Drosophila melanogaster: one gene and its partners. The protein of the gene in region 1 interacts with the protein of each later gene in a pairwise test. Each region holds a gene or a part of one and is shown in the gene's direction. Other genes may lie near its edges.

The links.
Region 2: the proteins of CG14540 (region 1) and CG6441 interact in a two-hybrid assay, tested with the Drosophila melanogaster proteins (one large-scale study listed by BioGRID).
Region 3: the proteins of CG14540 (region 1) and FoxP interact in a two-hybrid assay, tested with the Drosophila melanogaster proteins (one large-scale study listed by BioGRID).
Region 4: the proteins of CG14540 (region 1) and Rad23 interact in a two-hybrid assay, tested with the Drosophila melanogaster proteins (one large-scale study listed by BioGRID).

What each region holds. Positions count from the first base shown.
Region 1 is NT_033777.3:25,957,738-25,962,215, forward strand, and holds CG14540 (uncharacterized protein), read left to right. Parts: upstream 1-1,541; 5' UTR 1,542-1,738; coding exon 1,739-2,677; intron 2,678-2,734; coding exon 2,735-2,858; intron 2,859-2,925; coding exon 2,926-3,704; 3' UTR 3,705-3,949; downstream 3,950-4,478.
Region 2 is NT_033779.5:7,472,923-7,477,452, forward strand, and holds CG6441 (uncharacterized protein), read left to right. Parts: upstream 1-1,781; 5' UTR 1,782-1,984; coding exon 1,985-2,949; intron 2,950-3,009; coding exon 3,010-3,522; coding exon of another isoform or gene 3,523-3,526; exon of another isoform or gene 3,527-3,571; intron 3,572-3,656; coding exon 3,657-3,789; intron 3,790-3,851; coding exon 3,852-3,917; 3' UTR 3,918-4,030; downstream 4,031-4,530. Other genes in the region: Ziz (zizimin), read right to left, coding at 189-277, 735-967, 1,026-1,314, 1,373-1,583, 4,057-4,203, 4,260-4,530.
Region 3 is NT_033777.3:9,725,497-9,732,416, reverse strand, and holds FoxP (forkhead box P), read left to right. Parts: upstream 1-1,544; 5' UTR 1,545-2,983; coding exon 2,984-3,522; intron 3,523-3,580; coding exon 3,581-3,758; intron 3,759-3,814; coding exon 3,815-3,992; intron 3,993-4,051; coding exon 4,052-4,096; intron 4,097-4,181; coding exon 4,182-4,258; intron 4,259-4,325; coding exon 4,326-4,427; coding exon of another isoform or gene 4,428-4,490; exon of another isoform or gene 4,491-4,799; coding exon of another isoform or gene 4,800-5,009; exon of another isoform or gene 5,010-5,266; intron 5,267-5,403; coding exon 5,404-5,847; 3' UTR 5,848-6,397; downstream 6,398-6,920. Other genes in the region: alphaTub85E (alpha-Tubulin at 85E), read left to right, coding at 1-138, 267-1,088; hyd (hyperplastic discs), read left to right, coding at 6,892-6,920.
Region 4 is NC_004353.4:306,203-311,361, forward strand, and holds Rad23 (Rad23), read left to right. Parts: upstream 1-1,890; 5' UTR 1,891-2,021; coding exon 2,022-2,087; intron 2,088-2,210; exon of another isoform or gene 2,211-2,228; coding exon 2,229-2,877; intron 2,878-3,336; coding exon 3,337-3,431; intron 3,432-3,491; coding exon 3,492-3,815; intron 3,816-3,876; coding exon 3,877-3,987; 3' UTR 3,988-4,620; downstream 4,621-5,159.

The sequences.
Region 1 (4,478 bases):
GGGTGATAAATTTCTTGGAAATATCTCCGCCTTAAGCAATTCTAATGCCGAGTCCCATTAAAATTTATCGTTCCGCATAATGCTAATGACTTATATTAATTTTGGAATGGCTCACGTTTTGCTCTGTAAGTCAGTTGGCATTTTGCTGATAATCAGTCCAAACAGTCTATGGCATAGAATCAGTGGCCAATCAAGTCAGTTTGGCCGGAACAACTAATAATGGTGATTATTTTTTGTATCACCATGACAATGTCAACATGAACGTCATTCAGATGGGACTCAAAGGCTTAATGGCAGCTTCTCTGCGCATTTGCAACAAATAAAGCCTGTCTGACCTTTGTTGCTTCCTCGAATGTTGCAATATTTATGCGCACACATGCAGAGGATGGAAATTCAAGGCTCAACTGCAGGCCAGGATCTTAAATTATAGTCAACTGTTGTCGGCCGTTCATGGTTCATTTATATTTATGACTAGGGTACACACAAAACGAATTAAATGAGCTGTTCTTGGGGTCGTTTAGGGGAAGAGAAAATGAAAAGGGTGTACATTAAATGAAAATTATTCCCACAGATATCATCTCGTTCCTAATAGCATTCGCATGCAACAGATTGTCAACAAAATGATTTGCTTGCGGAAAGGGGAGAAGGCCTCCTGCAGTGGGCAGCAGCACACGCGTCGTATGCGCAATTTGCATAATGAGGACATGAGACAAGGAGTTGGCATGGGCATCATGGGTTTTCCGTTTCAAGGCACCGTCCCCACAGACAGATGACCCAATTTTTAAGGGTCCTTCAGCACTTTATTGAGCGCCTTTCTAAATCCCTTTCGCTTTGCATTCCCTTTATGTCTTAAGTGTCTGTAACCTGAGGCTAAGCGGTCTATTTTCAGCAGTCCAGACATGACCTTAAAGCTAGTTGCCTACTTAAGGATTCCTCCAGCGTGGCCATGCCACGCATTCGAATCATTCGCCTTGGATACACGGCAGCCCGAGGAGGTTCAAAGGTAAATAATCGGATAAATATTTGTAATAATTTCTTGAACGATGAACCACTTCCAAGCGAACAGCAAGTGGTATCCAAAACCACTTTCGCACTCACAATCAGATGCAGCTCATTAGCATTTGATTTGGCGTCGAACCGAAGAAATATTTCCGGCAAAGCGGGCAAACATTGAACCTTTGCTCTGTGTCATTGCCATTTGCGGTTAGTTGAGCGGCAAAAGGTAAACAAATTTACGGGAAAACTCCCTCACCACCTGTGGTTTGAATAATGAAGAGGTGTTTGAGGTGTGAAAATAAATTTGGTAGAAACGAAGCGCTGGAGTGAGTAATCAATATGAATGCGATTTAGGTGCAGAGATCTATCATTCCGTGGTAAATATGTATATATTGTACAACTCATACTCTTCGTATAAGGAAGTGAATCAAAATTTGACAAATAACCATAATAACGATTATTTCTGATTATTTTGATAAATGCGAAATGCGACGAAAATGTATGTCGTTAATGTTTCAGTTTATTCACACGAGTAATATTTATCCAATCTATCTATCCAGTAGGCTGGTGTTATAACATTCACTATCTTTCTATATCCCTCATTCATTTTAGCTAAATCATCCAAAGAACATAAATAGATGTAAAATATATCAAATACAGTTTATACATTATTGTGCTTTTGCGTTTATTGGTGCAACTCGAGGCCAACGAAAGTTTGTTTCGGTGAGTAAAGAGCCTTTGGATGAAGATGGTGCGCCCAATTCGTCGCAAGGGAATCGAGGAGGTCTATGGTTCCAAAATGGATTCCTTGCATCCGGTAAAGTCGGTAGCGATATCCCATGCAGGTGTGACCAAGAAAACAGCAAGGGCTGAGAGATCGGGTCCAGGCGGTGCAACTGGCGGTGGAGGAACCATTAGCTCCCGACAAGTCGATGCTCGCACTCAGCGCAGTTTTGTCACCGAAAATGATTACTACATCACCACCAATCTGCCGTTGACGGCGGCCAATCTGCGAAATGCCCCCGGTTCGATGGCGCAGCCATCAATATCGCAAATGATTCCCGGCCATGTCCAGCCATCTCCATATAACGCCATGCCCTCGAGGCGAAACCAAATGGCCAATAAGGCCAGTGCTCGTCAGGCGCCGATGAACAAGGTGCCGCATTTTAGCCCGGCCGAAGGCACGGTAAACCCTAATGGCTATGGCATGTCCAAGTCGAAGGAGACATACCGAATGAAGCACCGCGAAAAGGGCAATACCCAGAGGAACGACTATCCAATGGATGACAACGACGACTACTCCGATAAGGAACTAATGGTGCCCCAGCAGGGAAACATGGGAAATATGCGCCGGCACAATCCGCACTCTCATGCCCATCAAATGCAAATGCAGTTGCAATCCGGAGCAATGCAGCATCCGCCGCAACACCAGCTGCACCAGCAGCAGCAGATGACTACTCACAACCACCTCAAGCATCAGCAACAGCAGCGCCTCCAGCATTCGCAACCGCATCAGCATCAGCATCAGCATCCGCATCCGCATCAGAAGCAGATGCGTGGGCGACAGCCTGTTCCGGCGAGCAAGGTGCACGTGAGTACCGCCGATGACGATGAAGATAAGGAGGAAGATCCTGAGGAGTTCTTTGACCTGATCCGCCAGACTGTCAAAACGGCCGTTGGCGTGAGTTTCGCATAAGTTCCTTAGTTGATTAGTTAATACACTATGCACTTTCTTTAGAACACCATATCCGATGCTCTGGCAAAGAACTTTCGCGATCTGAGCCACAAAATCGAAAGGTTCTCGGGCGAGTTGAAGCAGACAAACGATAACCTGGATAAGCTGCAGGAACAAGTCATTAGCAGTGAGTTTATTTACTTTCAGTGTTTATTTGGTATTTATAATATGTAACTATTTTTTGGCATCTGCAGAGGTAATTTACTTCGGTGAGGAAAATTCGCGACACTTTCGGTACTTGTGCATGAAATCCGAGTACGATAAAATGTTTTACCAGCATCAATCGCTGATGAATGGAAAGCCCACTCAGGAAATGCTGAGTCTTTCGAAGGCGAACTTAGAAGCAGCGGCCTCAGTCAGTCAGAATCTGACACAGAAACCGTCGCATAGTTTAAAACAACAACCAGGAAAAGTGATTAGGAATCAAAGCAAAATGCCTATTAGCGCCAAAAAAGACCATAACGAGTCCCTAATGAACTCCAGTGCCTATCGTAGCATCTGCAAAGCTCAGCAGCCAGTTCTTGCTGCACAAAAGTCGTCATCGGAGCAAAGTTTAGTTGTAAAATCATCTGATGTGGGCGTGCAAGAAGTCCTGGATAATATCCAGCGCTACTGCAATCAGGTGAAGGATATGAATGGTCAGATGTCGGCTGAACTGCCCAGTCTCGAGGACATCTTGATACCCAAGAAAAATTCAAACGGTGGACTTTGTCAGCCAGCAGCCATGAGCTCTAGGACCCTCGCAGGTAGTCAGAAAAATAAAAAGGTTGACGACACGGAGATCGAAACGCCCAACGATAGTACGGATGAGACCTACACCGAAGTGGATGACTTCCAGCTCTCCTCGGACATCTCGACCGGCAGCGAGGACGATGACTGTGGCCTCAAGTATCCAAGTGGAGCAACTACGAGCCGGCCCAACCGCAAATTAAATCGAAGGGGAGCCAACCAAGGCGCCGGAGATGGTCAGTAAAGCCACTGGAGTGAAGATAAAGGAGCATTCAAACTGAAGGGGAACCCATTCCTAGAAATCGCCTTAATACTTATTTAAATATTACTTTTGGCATGACCTAAATTATTTCTGATAATGTAAAGCCAAAAAAAATTGGATCAAATGTTTCGACAAATTAACTATAACTTATCGTACCTGGCGTACATGTATTCATTTAATTCATTTTTAGGATCACAATTAAACTATGTTCAAAATTTAAAACTGGCTTTCATATTCTTATTTATGTTATGTGAACAGCTTACATTGAGCATAAAACTGACCTATTTGGCCCTTGGCAATCCCGATTCTCGCTGAGTAATGCCCATTGGTGTCACTAATAAGTGCATATTATATTGACTGCAAAGCAAGAATCAACTGAGCTGGCCAAAACAAGGCATCACCCCCATCCGGCAACCGGGTAAAACTGAGTCGAGTGGAAAATAAGGCCTAAGACCACCCCCACTAGCCCTAACCTGCAGCTGCATTTTTATGGGCTTACGAGTGTCGCGGCTCTGCAAGTTCTTCCGCTAGTTCAGTTGGCCAAAACAGTTTAAACGTGGACGTGGTCCGTCGGTAAGATATTGGTGCGTCTATTCAAAGTAAAATGAGTATTTAAATAAAAAGCCAAACAGCTTAATAAGGCCATATAGTTGCTTTTTGGGCAATTAAAGTTAAACCCCCTAAAGGAATTGAGCTCTAAATTAAACTTATGCAACGTGGCCAAATGAAAATGCTTACTTTTCAACTGATGTTGCG
Region 2 (4,530 bases), on another chromosome or scaffold:
GCTATGAAAAAATGTACACATATTTTTTGTAATTATAATTGTCCAACATAAAAATCTAACAACAATAAAGTGGGAATCTAAATCATAGTCGCTTAAGCATAGTCAAATTAACAAGTAATATGTAATATCGGTTAACTGGAACTTATGGAACTGGTCGTTTAGCACAGAATATATTGTTCGGTTATCGGTTATGAATGGTGTGTGGAGTTCTGTGTGTTTATGTGGGAACTGTGGTGGTGGGTGCTGTTGCTGGTATTTTGATCAACAAAATACGGTCCTAAAACGGGAGAATTACAAACTCGTTAATACAAACTCGTTAATAAATGTCACAGAACATTTAGTTAGATTAGCCGAATTTTGTCAGAAAGCGCTTACGGTTAGTTTCGGTTCGGATTAAAAGCCACCAAATTTGGATTGTTTATGTTTTTTGTGGTGTTAGTCACATGGGGATTTCCTCAGCCGAGGCGCAAACCATTAAGCCCAAAATCGAGCTTTACCTGCCGCAAGACAATTTCAAATTCAACGACAACTTCAAACAAAGGAACACCAAGAGAGCCTATGTTATGACTACGTTGTGGTTACGATAACGCATTACAATCTCTACGCCTACGTATCGGGCTCGTGTTATTTGAATACTTCAACAATCGGTTTGGTTTCTGGTTAGCCGTGCGTGTGGGTGACTGAGTTTCAGAATTTTGATATCTTATTATGATTTCGTTGGACTTAAGCAGTACTTGAGTTATGGGAGGCGCCACTGATCGCATTGAACAAAGCCATGCTATTGCGCTGGTTTATGCTGTCGGCATCGTCGCCGAGCGGCTGGAAGGACTCGTCGTCCAGCAACTCACTGAGCGCCTGGCACAGCTTCTCGTAGTTCTCCTTGAGCACATGATGGTACTCCTTCTGGTCAGCGCTGATGATCCGCTCGTTGAGGAACAGGGCCTTCTGACACACCACAATGAAGTCGCTGCAAGAAAGAGACCACAATTAATAAACGTAAAGCACTAGTCACTAGAAATGCATACCGAAAAACATCCTTGAGATCTCCGACGCGATCCATTGAGAAGTTGTTAACCACCTTTGCATCGAGAAAGGCATGAGCGTAGGCCAAAGGACCAGCATTTACAGTCACCGCCACACTTCCCTGCAGACGCAGCTGCAACTTCTTCACATCGGCCGGTGGGAGTATGATCTCCTCCAGCTCTGAAACCTTGGATTGCATTTCATCGATGGCCACCTCAATGGGGCTCAGTTCTATGATTTCACGGGATTTGACGGGTATACGTTTAAGAACATATGGGAAGGAGTATTGAGCTGCAATAATTGATGCTTTAATATGGTACAAATGAAATTAAAGACGGTTTTTACATACTTTTTATAACCGTCTTGCGTTTCCATTGTTCTTCTACGCTGCCACGGGCTGCACCCGATTTGGTGAACGGAGTCTCGTACATAAAAGTATCCACATCATGATTCTGCTCGAATTCATTTAGCCTTTGGTCTAGCTCGTCCTTGGAGAAGAAAGGAATCACATGGGTGACCTGTATGTAGGCAAGTTTGGCATCTAGTTCGTCTACTTTAACCTGAAAAAATGAGTTGTAAAATTTTATAATACTTAATTGTTTGTCTTAAAAAATCGTCTATAAATAATAATAAATAATAATATAATGCAATAATAATGCAATCAATGGTGGACATACACTAGTAACTTCGAGATCAAGTCGTCCCTCCAGCAAATATCAGAATGAAGTTTGTTTCAGAATACTTCCCACCTTCAACAGATTTGGTTCAAATAGCTCAGCAACTTTACTAGGTACTAGTAAATTGTTTGTTATTTTTATACAACTACCACAATCCGCACACTAGAACCGCAAAAATATCCAAAATTTTGTAGAGATCGAGTTCCTTCTTTTGGCACAAACCATAAGTTCATCAGATTGTCGGACATACGGTAACTATTTCACAATACATTGTCCGTTCCCTTATGGAGCAGCTCTTTGAGTTCCCGGCTCGTGCGATGGGTCTGGGATTGGTCCAGATGCCGCAGATGCAGATACCAATCCCATGTAGGAGGGAGTACTCGCTAAATCCGAACGCAGTGGAATTCGTGCCATCTTTTCGCCAGAAATCCGAGCCTCCAAGTCCATCGACCAAAACGGAGGCGACCTCAACTACAACATTGCTGCGTCCCGAGGTCGTTGGTGATGCCGTGAATCGTGTTGAAAATGGGATTTTTCTCGAGCGCCAGATCTTTGACACCCTAAGTCAACTGGGAGACGAGCAAATGCCTCTGGAAGAGATCGCGGTTGGTGTATTACCAGGAGGACAAGGTCTTAGTATGACTTTCACCACCAAAGAGCACGATCAGATGCAGCCTTTGGACCGAAATACTCTAGTAAACCACAGTAAACAGTGCCTCCAGCTGGCTGTGGGCGATCAGGCGAAGTTGGCGAACAGACCTGAGACCGTTCTAATTGCCCAATTCCTCATCCGGGTCAACGATCTTTTGAACGAGAAGTATGAATACGGTGGCGATGGATCCGTGTGTCCCAGATGCACCCTGTGCTCAAATCGCAGCTATACGGAGCTGGAAATCGAAAACCAAATCGAGTGCATAAAGGCTTTTGAGAAATTTTTCACCTTTACGGAATCAACTCGCTACCAAGACATAGTTTCTCACAAAGCCTTTAAGGAGCTGTGCCACAGGCTGGGTTTGATCGTAAGCCGAGATCAGATCCAGGTTAACCGCCCCTCCACAGTGGTCCCTCCACCCACGGCACAGTCATCTAGTATAACCCTTTGCATGTCCAAGAACGAAATGGAATCTAATGTAGAGGCCAAGGCTTATAGAGGAGATGACGAATCCAGTTTCAACGGTTGTGAACTGACCGCGAATGGAGGTCAACATCCATCTATTTCTAATGAATATTTGAGGGGAAAGCTTTACAGGTGGGTGGGTCTTAAGTTAAGTGAAGGGAATACAACAATTATTGTGATTTATATTTTTAGATACGAAGACTCTCAGGGATGCCAGTTGGTCAACGAACTGAGTGAAAATCAACAAAAAATTGAAGCTATGGAGGTAGATGAGTTCGAGTTGGATTTACCATCTACCACGAAGCCCAAGACCGTGGTAACTACTAGTGTGCCGACAACCTTTCCTCGGGTGTACAAAACAGCCAAAGCCAAATGCTCGGCTCGTGGGGCAGGATCTAGTGGTCAACAGAGTGGCTACAATAACAGGGCAGTCCGTTCAATGATGCAGCCGTCAAAGGGCTCACCCACGACTTCACATTTTCGGACTATTGCAGTTGGTTGCCACCACCAAGCTGGATCGGCTGCCCCTCGAAAGCTGCAAATGGATTCGTGCCCAACCGGGGCTGCCCGCAAGCAAAATAGGTTGACTGAAGCAAAATCAAAAATTTACCAGCCATCTGGCAGTTCGCAACGACTTTCAACAGGTCGCGATACAAAACTAGGAAAATCTGGTACAAACGTACAAAAACCCAAGTTAAATCATATGTGAGTTAAAATTTGTGATCATTAAATGCTTACAGATCTACTTCAAACTACCTTGAAAGAAGAACTTTTAATAGTCTATTATTATGTGCCTGTAAACTGTCTATTTTATATTTTCTATTCCTTTATATCTTTAGTTGCAAGTCAGGAAAAATGTCTACGGCCAGCAGGATTGCCATGTCTAATCCAAAGCAAACCAATGGCAACCCACAGCGAATGATGCCAAGAAGCACAAACGCCTCAATGATGCGACAGTCCGAGGTCAAGCGGGTAAACCCTCTCGCAACTCCAATTTCACAAATAATATAATATATATATATACTCCATTGTAGCGCATGAGTTTGATGCGCGCCGACAGTGATTCGGATCTGCTATACAACGAATATCTCTTCAAGTGATTTGCAATAAGTTATATGGATTTGTTGCTTCCCTTTCAAAAATTAGTTTTTCCAATCCAAAAATACCTAGGTTATGTTAAAATTAAAATTGAAACCAAGACTGGGAAAAATTTAAAGAAAGTGTAATTTTTATACTTACCGGTGATGAGTCCATGATCATCTTAACTACATCGGCTCCAAACTTTTCTTTGTATTGTTTGGCAAGTCGCTCAGAGATTTCGCTGAGTGATGTTAGCTTGGGCTCCTTGTACACAAACTCGATGGCATGATCTTCTTCAAAGTACATCTAAAAATAGCATTAAATTTAATATTAATTTTAAGGGTATTCTGTAGATTACTCACTAATCCATAAAATACAACACGGTAAAAGCGACCCAACATTCTCTTTCCTGACCGATTCACTTCAACTATTTTATTATAGGCTTGCGTGAGATGCTCATAGCAGTGTGCCAGGTCCTGGTAACTACGATCTCTTTCGTACATGGGCAGGATGAGTTTGTAGAGCTCTCCAAGGCACTCAAATCTTTCAGCGCGATCCAAGAAGTCAGCACATAGCTTAAGCTGCTCCAGTAGCATTTGTTCGGTGTACTGGGAATCCTGAGCACCGGCATCC
Region 3 (6,920 bases), about 16 Mb from region 1:
GGTCTGCAGGGATTCCTGGTCTTCCACTCCTTCGGCGGCGGCACTGGCTCTGGATTTACGTCGCTGCTGATGGAGCGCCTGTCCGTGGACTATGGAAAGAAGTCAAAGCTGGAGTTCTCCATTTACCCAGCACCACAAGTATGTCATTTGCATATGGATATTATATCTATTGCTTGAGCATTTATAGAAGACCAATTAACATAATTAGTAAAAGACATGGGAAATTAGTCTTCGAAAGGCAATCTAATAATCGAACTTCCTGTTAGGTGTCCACAGCTGTGGTCGAGCCATACAACTCGATCTTAACCACCCACACAACGCTGGAGCACTCGGACTGTGCGTTTATGGTTGACAACGAGGCAATCTACGACATCTGCCGGCGCAACTTGGATATCGAGCGACCCACCTACATGAATCTCAATCGCCTAATTGGCCAGATCGTTTCCTCCATTACGGCCTCGTTGCGCTTCGATGGCGCCCTGAATGTGGATCTGACCGAGTTCCAGACCAATTTGGTGCCCTACCCACGCATTCATTTCCCACTGGCGACATACGCTCCCGTCATTTCCGTGGAGAAGGCCTACCATGAGCAACTGACCGTGGCCGAGATCACCAATGCCTGCTTCGAGCCGGCCAACCAGATGGTCAAGTGTGATCCGCGTCGTGGCAAGTACATGGCCTGCTGCATGCTCTACCGCGGTGATGTGGTGCCCAAGGATGTGAACGCAGCCATTGCCACCATCAAGACCAAGCGCTCTATCCAGTTCGTCGACTGGTGTCCCACGGGCTTCAAGGTGGGCATCAACTATCAGCCACCCACCGTTGTTCCTGGCGGAGATCTGGCCAAGGTGCAGCGCGCCGTCTGCATGCTGTCCAATACCACTGCCATTGCCGAGGCCTGGGCCCGTCTGGATCACAAGTTCGATCTGATGTACGCCAAGAGGGCCTTCGTCCACTGGTACGTGGGTGAGGGCATGGAGGAGGGCGAGTTCGCCGAGGCTCGCGAGGATCTCGCTGCCCTCGAGAAGGACTACGAGGAGGTAGGCATCGACTCCACCACCGAACTGGGGGAAGATGAGGAATACTAGAGAAAACGTTGTCAACAAATGATACAGCCATTACAACTTTATAAACATCACTTTCTTTCTACCAAATACCAATGCATAAAACAGTTTCGCAATAAAACAGTTTAACACAATTGCTTAAAATGGCTTATTTAAATGGGAAATATTCGTCTTTAGATGGAATTTAACTTTTGTGTTAATAAGAATAAAACTTTCTCATATAAGGAAATTGGTAAATCATATATTTATTGGAAATTACCCCTCCGTAAAAAACCCTACTTATCACTTTCTTATTGCTTTAAATATTAATATTAATTGGGCAAATTAATGTTGACTTTTAAAAGTTTTTAATTTTTGAAATCGTTACGTGTAATGGAGCCTTAGGATGCATTTTGAAACGCATGCGCAAAAATGTGTACACATATTTCTAGCAAATTCAGTAGTCGTAGACGTACCTTTTCAGGAGTAGCAGCGAAAAATATTCTTAAGATAGTTTTTAAGTTTAAATTAATTTTACATATATGTGAAAAGTTGTATTAAAAAATTCGCCCGTTATTAAATATAATATTGTTCTTTGGAAACCTCTGTGAATGTTATTTAATTGTAAATGTACATGCAAAATTGTATCCTCTTTTGTCTGCAAAATTGTATGTGCATGTATGTATTCGCAAAATTTAAGTCTAGTCTGTTAAGTTAATTAAGATATTGTTGAGTAGTCTAGGCAGACAACTTTATCTTAAAAGTCCCAGTTTAAACAGTTCTTATACAGAAATTGTATGATATGTATACATATGAAATATGAATATTTTATTTACCCATATATACCCCTTGGAATAATCAATGCCCCCAACGAATACAGACAATGCAAATCTACACAATACCAACAATATATTTATCTTTATTCGCCTTTACACAAAAAGCTTATGTATATCGAATATAATACTATTTTTTCAGGATCTTCGAATGTGATGAAAACCATACCTCTCTCTTCTCTTTTATATCTTTCTTCTTTTCCTATAAAACATTTAATACTTACATATTTCACCATTTACATTTATTCTTATTTTAGGTGGCTATATAATTTTTCATTACAGGAATTTGATTAAAACAATCGTAAGATGGTCCTATCTGCAAAACTCATATACTCTTCCATTTAAGTTCATCCTATAGCCAAAACGTCCGTCCGTTTTTATATCCGTTTGTCCGTCCGTTTGTATGTCCTTCCGTTTGTATGTCCGTTTGTCCGTCCGTTTGTCCGTCCGTTTGTCCGTCCGTTTGTCCGTCCGTTTGTCCGTCCGTTTGTCCGTCCGTTTGTATGTCCTTCCGTTTGTCCGACCGTTCCGTCTGTATGTTTCTTATGTTATGTATGTTGTATATGTTTCTTTTTAGCAAAATAAGATGTGTCTGGTTTCCTTGCCACCTATGCAATCCCCTTGTGAGATCTTAAACTTGTTATACGCCTAAATATGATAAATGCTTTCTATGAATAACCTTTATATTTACAGATTAACTGCACCGGATGACGTGGCATTTTATTTGTAACATATTTAAAATTAAATCAAACATTTAAAGAATGTTTAATTTAATTTACACTGAATTCATTTAGCACTGGGCCTTTAGTAGGGGTTAAATCTTATATGCGCCAAGTTGTTAAATATTCATAACTTTTGGGGAAAGTATCATCTCAATGATAGTGCGGGAAAATTAAGCTGAAATTAAATAGGGCGTAATAAATAGAAATCCTTAAACTATCACTCTGATTCGGAGTTTTACAGGAATGGCGGCATATGAGTAAAGATAGTTTTATTGAAATGACTCCTAATGACAGACGAAAAAGAGATTATTTCTGTGTATTTGCATATGCCCATCTCTTGGGTAAAGGATCAATGGTAATGATTATAAATTTCAGTTTTAAAAACATGCATCGGATACATGACGACGAGTATTCCGAGGATGCCAAGGAATCGGACTTTAAGAGTTCGATTCAGAAGGAGATATCAGTGAAGTCGAGACACCAAATTTCCATACCAGACATATGCTCAGATGCTGTTAAGAACAATTGTTTTCCGCCGACTGGCTTTCTCAATAACTCGATCACCTTTGCCTCACATGTAGTTAAGTGCAGCTCACCGGCCTCGAGCATCGATGAATCCTCAACGGCGGCCCAGCAGCACGAATCCAATCCACACATGCATATACAGGGTCAGCATATGATGGCTCCCGTTCCCGATCTGGGTTTCTACAATGTGCCCGAGTTCATATCCGAGCAGGAGAAGCTCATGTTCTCCGATGCAGAGAGATTCTTGCGGTCGAAGGATAATGAGGTGTGCAACAATGATTTCAGCTATATGCACGATGAGTTCGCCATGCGGAAGTACTATCATCCGTTATTTGCTCATGGCATATGCCGTTGGCCTGGTTGCGAAATGGATTTGGAAGACATCACATCGTTTGTCAAGTAGGTGGAGTACAATTAGAGGTATGAAATAATTATATAGGGTATGTTATCTAACTAGGCATCTGAATACGGAACATGGTTTGGACGATCGATCAACAGCACAGGCACGGGTTCAAATGCAAGTTGTCTCCCAGCTGGAATCCCACCTGCAAAAAGAACGAGATCGCTTGCAGGCAATGATGCATCACTTGTATTTGTCCAAGCAGCTTTTGTCTCCCACCAAAATCGACAGGAAGGTAAGTCCCTTTTTATGTGAGTAAGTATTGGTATAATGAAAAGTTATAAATATAAGGACGTGCCCGGAAGAGAGGGAAAGTTTTGCCGGAGTCCGCTTACCGTAAATAGCATAGGCCGACCCATCCGACAAACAAATTCACCGAGTCCTCTGAATCTTCCAATGGTTAATTCCACCAACTTGTGCTCGATCAAAAAGAGAAACCACGACAAAAATACATTTTCCATAAATGGGGGTAAGTTTGGGAAAAATTTACTATTACTGTATAAAAATAATAATGGTTTTTGGATATAGGATTACCCTATATGCTTGAAAGAGCAGGTCTTGATGTGCAACAGGGTAAGTAAATTATGTAGACTGATCGTCTTGATGACTATTCGTCTTGTGCTTCTGGAAGACATATAATAAGAATTTAAATTTGCAGAAATCCATCGAAACAGAGAGTTTTATAAGAATGCTGATGTACGACCGCCTTTTACTTATGCTTCCCTCATAAGACAGGTAATTTTAAAAACCAATTTCCTAATATAACATTAATTTATTTTTTTTATATATATTTTATTTATAGGCTATAATTGACTCCCCTGACAAGCAGTTAACCCTAAACGAAATCTACAACTGGTTCCAAAACACATTTTGCTACTTCCGGCGCAACGCAGCTACGTGGAAGGTAAAATGCCCCATATATGTAAATCTTCTTTCCTCCATATTATCTATATATTATGCAACATAACTTTAATTTGAGTATTTATGCTATATGATATGATATCTATGATCTGATATGACCATTTGTCCGTCCGTATAACTCTCGTTTGTCCGATTGGCGTTCCTAGCTTGTCCGCTGTATATATACTATATACTACCTTTTCCACATTGTCCACTACTTTGCCAATATTTAAGAGTATAATAGAGCTAAATACAAGTGATATATAACAAGGTAAGCTACACAGGTCAGATCCTGTTTTATTCCATTTCCTTTTTATATGTCTTAAAATAATCAAATTAAGTTTGGCCTATGCTAACTGATAATATATATCATTAGAACGCAGTCCGGCACAATCTGTCCCTTCATAAGTGCTTTATGCGGGTTGAGAATGTGAAAGGAGCAGTTTGGACTGTCGATGAGATTGAGTTTTACAAAAGACGACCGCAGCGCACTGCTGGCATTGGTAACAATCTAACCGGTGCTACCAATTCGCCGGACACTAACTATTTTGTAGCCATGAACATTGGGTATGTGGGTCTCAAATAGTTTAATTCTACTCACTTTGCTCCAAACTCCTTCCGTTTTGCTCTGTTAGTAAATATACATATGCCATTGCATGCATGCTCCTATATCGAAATGATATAATATGACATTATACGATCTTTTTACAGCGCAAATTGTAAACAGTGATTCTAATCTCTTAGTGGTAGAAACCCAAAATGATGTCCGTCTGCTCATCGATCTGTCTGTCTGTCTGTCTGGAATTTAGCTGATGAAGATTATCCAGGATTTCGCGTGTTATGAAAAATGAAAATAAGAAGACCGAAGACAAATGAACTAACCTTAATATCTCAATGAACTTTTTCTTCCTTTCACGATAATGCAATTTCCTGTTTCTGACTCTTGATGGGGCTCTTGTTTTGTCCAACCAATCATAAAGAATGCGATTCGTACGAACCTTTCCTTACACAAGTGCTTTGTACGTTATGAAGATGACTTTGGCTCGTTTTGGATGGTCGACGATAATGAGTTTGTCAAAAGGCGGCACTTGTCGAGAGGGAGACCCCGGAAATATGAACCGTCCTCCTCCCCAAATTCATGCCAATCCGGCAATGGTGTGCCCACTGATAAGAATCCCTGCGACAATTGTACGCAACATTGCACTAGTTTGCCACCGGGTGCTGATAATCCTCTAGATTCCAATAATCCAAATGATTTAGGCAGAATTGGTTGTCTTCCCTATTGCGGTAGTGATGGTTTAAGTAAAGCGTCCAAGGACTATAGCAATATGGACTCGGGTATGATCGAAAGTAACAGCCACTTGACAATCGATGAATATTCTACTAATATGTACGAGAGTAGTGCCAATGAGCACAATCGATAAATAATATATCATTAACTATACATATATTTAGATGCATTGTCGAGTAATCTGCGTTTGGTAAGAAGGTTCGGATTCGGAAATTATATCTGTACATACACATGGTTCTATGTATAATTTCCCAAATAGAAATGAAAAAATACTTTTAAAATAAATTTCACTAATGCTATAAAATAAACGAAAGAACTACGTTAAATTATTAAAGCAAAATTAATGTGTTTAAACTTGCTTTAATAACTCCACTTATAACACGATTTTAATATACGAGTACAACATATATGAATATTTTCACTTTTCAGCAAGGGAGAAAACATTTAAAAGCTATAGCTTGATAAAATTTTAACAAAACTGTTTTAAAAGTCACAATATGATTTTTTTTTAAGGAAACTATTTTCAGGTATACCTTCTGTTAAAAATCTGGACCCTTGAGAGCTTTAGATTTGGAAACTCCTTAGTAAACGTATATGCTTTTCTGCTGACTTATCTAATTTCCTTCTAATTTAAGATCATTAACGATACTCAGTGACCTAAATAAATTCCTCAAATATACAACAAAGTGAACAAACTGAATTTTATTTCTAGTTCCTAAGCAAACGGTTTACGCGACGTAAAAGCGGTTAAATCGGCTTCTCAAAAGTTTGTCAATCAAAGTTTTCTACCAATTCATTATTTTAAAGCGGTCTTTAGTATATTTTAGTATATTCTATTGGAGATTTTTTGGACTGCCACTATTTAAGGAAAAACAACCGATAAGAATGGACGCATTCGTGAACTTCTGTATCTTAAATTTAATAAAATATATACAGCCTAAGTACACATATTGTAGTCAATGTCAATTTAATTTGAAAGTAAAGTTTTTGTTTACCAATAAATTTGTTTGGAGAATGTATCGATACCGTCGAATTTTCCGGCAACCATCGATACAGTCGGGCGGCATCGGTTTTCGTCCCAGCTCTAGCCAGTACGGTCACTCTGAAAGTCTCTCAACGTTTTGTGACATGAAAATTCAACGAGGACACTGTGTACATGAATAGTTGAAAAATTAAAATGGTTTCCATGCAATTTGTTTTGCAACC
Region 4 (5,159 bases), on another chromosome or scaffold:
GAAATTAATTCACATGAATACACTTATTTATTATTATTAATTGATAAGTGGAAAAACAATGCATTCGTGTATTTTTTGTATTATTCTTTGCAAATGTCTAATGCACAAGATTATTATTACAATTAAAAATCTTCAACAGCAAATTTTTATTTTTTGTTTTTATGGTATATACAATTATTTAGAATTAACACATTTGTCATTTTTGAAATTGTATCTTTTAAAATTCTCGATATTTACTACATTTAAACACCCCACTGATGATACAGCAATAGTTATCTTAATTTCGAAATTTTCGTTAATCTTATATGAACTCAAATCATATATGTTCACAAGACAGAAGATAAGCATTGATGTATATCTTTTGAAAGGAATACGGTATTACCAAAGACACTAGAATAACAAGATGCGTAACGGCCATACATTGGTTTGCCCAAAGACCCTAGAATAACAAGATGCGTAACGCCATACGATTTTTTGGCACACGATTTTTTGGCCGTGGCTCTAGAGGTGGCTCCAGGCTCTCTCGAATTTTTGTTTGAGAGCGAGAGAGCGAAGAGCGCTACAGCGAACAGCTCTTTTCAACGCACAAAGTGGTAGGAGACATCTGTATGTGTGCACACGTATGCTCATGCATTGTAAATTTGACAAAATATGCCCTTCACCTCAGAAGTTTTTAGACTTTAAATCTATATTATTTTTGATCAATTGGCACCATGCGAAAAATTCTTGTTTTGCATTGCCTTAACGTTATTATTATTTGAAAATATATCAGAAATAGCCAAATCTATGTACATATTATCACAAAAATAAATTTCAAAAATGACTTTATATAAGAATATTTGTCATTAGAGTATTCATCTTGCGGCGTGTGAAAAATTAATAAGGCAATGATTGTTGAGTGCTTGTGTCCGCACTTCGTGCCTCAAGATATGAACAAAGCATTAGAATTATTCTAGTATATTACTTTGATATTACTTTTGCAATAAACAGTTATCATATTTAATTATTTAGTATATTTATTAAATCATTTGACTTAATATGATGTAACATTAACATTAAAAGTGTTTTAAAAAAATAATTTCTCTTTTAAAAAATTGTCAGATGAGAGACAAATTAGAATTAAACATAAATATAAATGTGTAAACGGTAGCTAATTCGAGCGGCGATTTTAACAAACAAATTTAAAAAGCTTTAAAATTATAATAGTCAGGGCGCGAATTTTTAAAAATTTTTTTATTTTATCATATTGCTAGGAAATTGGCAAAAACTACCCTAATATGTACCATGTAAATTCGTTTCTTCGATCAGAATTGATTTCGGCCCGAAAATCGTCTTCTAGCACAACACGCACACTTATACGCGTTCTCGTCTCTTGTTTTTACTCACACAAGCAATCAAATTATATTTTTAGATTTCTTACGCTCTCAGCGGGAGTGAGCGGAAAGAGAGTAATTTTGGCAGTCACCAAAGAAGTGGCTGCATAGTGCCAAACCAATGTATGGCCGTTACGCATCTTGTTATTCTAGTGTCTTTGGTTAAACTAAAGTATTTTTAAAGAAATACCGAACTACTTAAACGGAATTAAAAATTAAATTTCTTTGAAATTTATTGATCATCAACCGATGGTATATTATAAATAGACTTATATACTACAGGTATAACCTGTATATAGTATGATCTAAATCGTTGATATAATGAAATACTAACTACAGTCAAACCACGGACAATTGTTTATTTGTTACGTTCATTATGACTTCAATATTTCATATTTCATTATAAATTTCATTACAAATCTTTACATCTTTCTTGATGTGTGAAAATGTTATAAGGACTATTGAACTCTTTGGTTTGTGCTGCGATTTTGTGTCTTTTAAGCGAGAAGGTATAATTTGCCAGTCCATGTGCGGTCACACTGATGACAAATCGTTTTTATCAAGCGATATTGGGAACTAACTTTCGAGTTTGCATATGTGTATGCATATGTATATTTAATTAAGTTTTGGTTTTGTCTGATACACAAGATGATTATTACAATTAAAAATCTTCAACAGCAAACTTTTACTATTGAGTTTGCCCCGGAAAAAACGGTATGTGTACAAATAGTCAAATACTAGTATATTCACATGTATGGTATATACAATTATTGCAAATGCATATGTGTGCTTATACAGGTATTTCTTACAATTAATTTGTTGTACCATAATAAGCAGGGATTCTGATTACAAAAGGTTTTGGAACTGAAGAAGAAAATATTCGAGGAGCGCGGTCCAGAGTACGTCGCCGAAAAACAAAAACTGATCTACGCTGGCGTCATATTGACGGATGACCGCACCGTTGGTTCATACAACGTTGATGAAAAAAAGTTCATTGTGGTAATGTTGACACGCGATTCGTCTAGTTCAAATCGTAATCAACTTAGTGTAAAAGAAAGTAATAAATTGACTAGCACCGACGATTCAAAGCAATCTATGCCTTGCGAAGAAGCCAACCATACCAATTCGCCTAGTTCCACAAATACAGAAGATTCAGTTTTATCACGTGAAACCAGACCTTTATCTAGTGACGAATTGATTGGCGAGTTGGCCCAGGCTTCCTTACAATCGCGCGCTGAATCTAATTTGCTTATGGGTGACGAATACAACCAAACAGTCCTATCAATGGTGGAAATGGGTTACCCAAGAGAGCAGGTTGAACGTGCGATGGCTGCTAGTTATAACAACCCGGAAAGAGCCGTTGAATATCTCATTAATGGCATACCTGCAGAGGAAGGTACTTTTTACAATAGGCTGAATGAATCAACGAATCCTAGTCTAATCCCCTCCGGACCGCAACCTGCGTCGGCAACCTCTGCCGAGCGTTCAACAGAATCAAATTCAGGTAACTTGATGGGATTTCAATCAGCAGTCAATTTATGTATTCTTGTATGAAACGAAAATATATAATTTCTACCCAGAAGTACTAAATTTGCACACTTCAAAACATAGTGAAATTAATAAACCCGATTTGGCTCTCGCTCTTTAATGAAATTATACGGCCTTAACATAATTGCGTTAGTTTTCCTGGTCAAGAAATATTGTTGATCAAAACTTATGTTGCACATTCGTTAATAAATAATAAAAGAGTTCTCTTAGTACTGGAAATATATGCAGCTGTTAAAGATTCACTAAAATGTTTGTGAGCTCGTTGTCCCGCAGTATCATTTACATATATATGTCAACAGACACTAAAGGAGCGATAATTCACGAATTTTTGTCACTATTCTCTTCAAGGACAGGGCATCACTATATGTTTTTAGTTAATTTAATTATTATTTAATTATTTATATTTACGTTTCAGACCCCTTTGAATTTTTACGTAGCCAGCCACAGTTTCTTCAAATGCGATCTTTAATTTATCAAAACCCTCATCTTTTGCATGCAGTATTGCAGCAGGTAAGTACACTTATAATAATAATTACATGACACGTAAATGATAATTTTTTTTACGTATAGATTGGTCAGACAAACCCAGCCCTTTTACAACTTATTTCGGAGAACCAAGATGCGTTTCTCAATATGCTTAATCAACCGATTGACCGCGAATCGGAGTCAGGCGCCACCGTTCCTCCCGTTTCGAATGCGCGGATTCCTTCAACTTTGGACAATGTTGACCTCTTTTCTCCAGATTTAGAAGTAGCTACTTCAGCACAAAGATCAGCCGCGGGTACAAGTGCAGCACATCAAAGCGGTAGCGCAGCGGATAACGAAGACTTGGAACAACCTTTAGGAGTATCAACCATTCGTTTAAATCGCCAAGATAAGGACGCAATAGAACGGGTATATAGGAGTGAATAATTATATATGGACTGTCGAGTTACTTAATATATTCTTCTTCTAGCTAAAAGCTCTTGGATTCCCAGAGGCCCTTGTACTGCAAGCGTACTTCGCTTGTGAAAAGAACGAGGAACAAGCAGCTAATTTTTTGCTATCGTCTAGCTTCGATGATTAGGATGACAAAATGTAAGAAGTTATGCAAATAACACCGGAAGCGTTACATTTAAAGTTAGATGTTCTTAAATTAAATGTAAAATGTCGATCATAAAAATTCTTTTATATTCTTTTAATACCGTCGGCGTATTGTACTTGTTATTTGTTAAAAATTGCAGCCATGGGTAAAATAGAGTTACGATGTCATTTTTACTAAATATTTCACCACGACATTGTCTTCAGCATAAGACTGCAAATGTCTACAAATTTATCTGTGCCAATCCATGGTAGGGAGGCCTTGGATTAGGCCTTCACCTAATGGATGGCAAAGTATATTTCTAGTGTGTGTATTTCTAGTGTATATGCAATACACACATTAATTATTTTAAGGTCGTATTAAGCTAAAGAAGTCTTATGATTTATTCTTTCCTTATCTTGGTTGATTTATAAAATATTTTTTTGACTAGTGGGAGTCCACAATTAAGTCACTTAACACATAAAGTACTTTTTGTCGTCCTGGATGTTGGACATATGACTAAAATATATTAATCATTGTATTACATAAATTTCGTGTTTTTTTATTGTAAATAATGTCCGCAATTATGCCCTAATAAGCTGTGGCGTCTCTTTGGTGATTCCTTTCAGGATGAGTCGGAGAAATAAAACAATTTCATTAATTGCATGACATTCATAACAATTCTATAGTCGAGTGCCTCGACTATCAGATACCCTTTACTCACGAAAAAACTAATTAAAATTTTTATAAATATTTTTTATTGCTTATTTTTACAGGAATAAATGTTCTCCAGTTTTACAGTACTTAGATTATCATTAATTTACAAATATACAAAACTGTAGAACATTTGGACTTATGATACTTTTCTGCTTGCCAATTAATACGACAAATATAAAACTCGAACATTGTAATATGCATTATTAATGCAAAGAATTCTACACTTTAATATTAATAAATCTCTAATAGTTTCATGTATGGCTATGGTCCCCTCTATAATGTTGCTACAATTATAAATCTTTCCTGACTCAATGTAGATTCAAAGACACAAGAATTATTGGTAGATTTGGTAGAACGCAGGTAAGTGGAAAGAGAAGCACTCGTTAATACTTCTTTCCTTGACACGTTCCAGAACTTTAGACTGGGTCGAATTAACTTTATAAACATGGGCATACCCACCG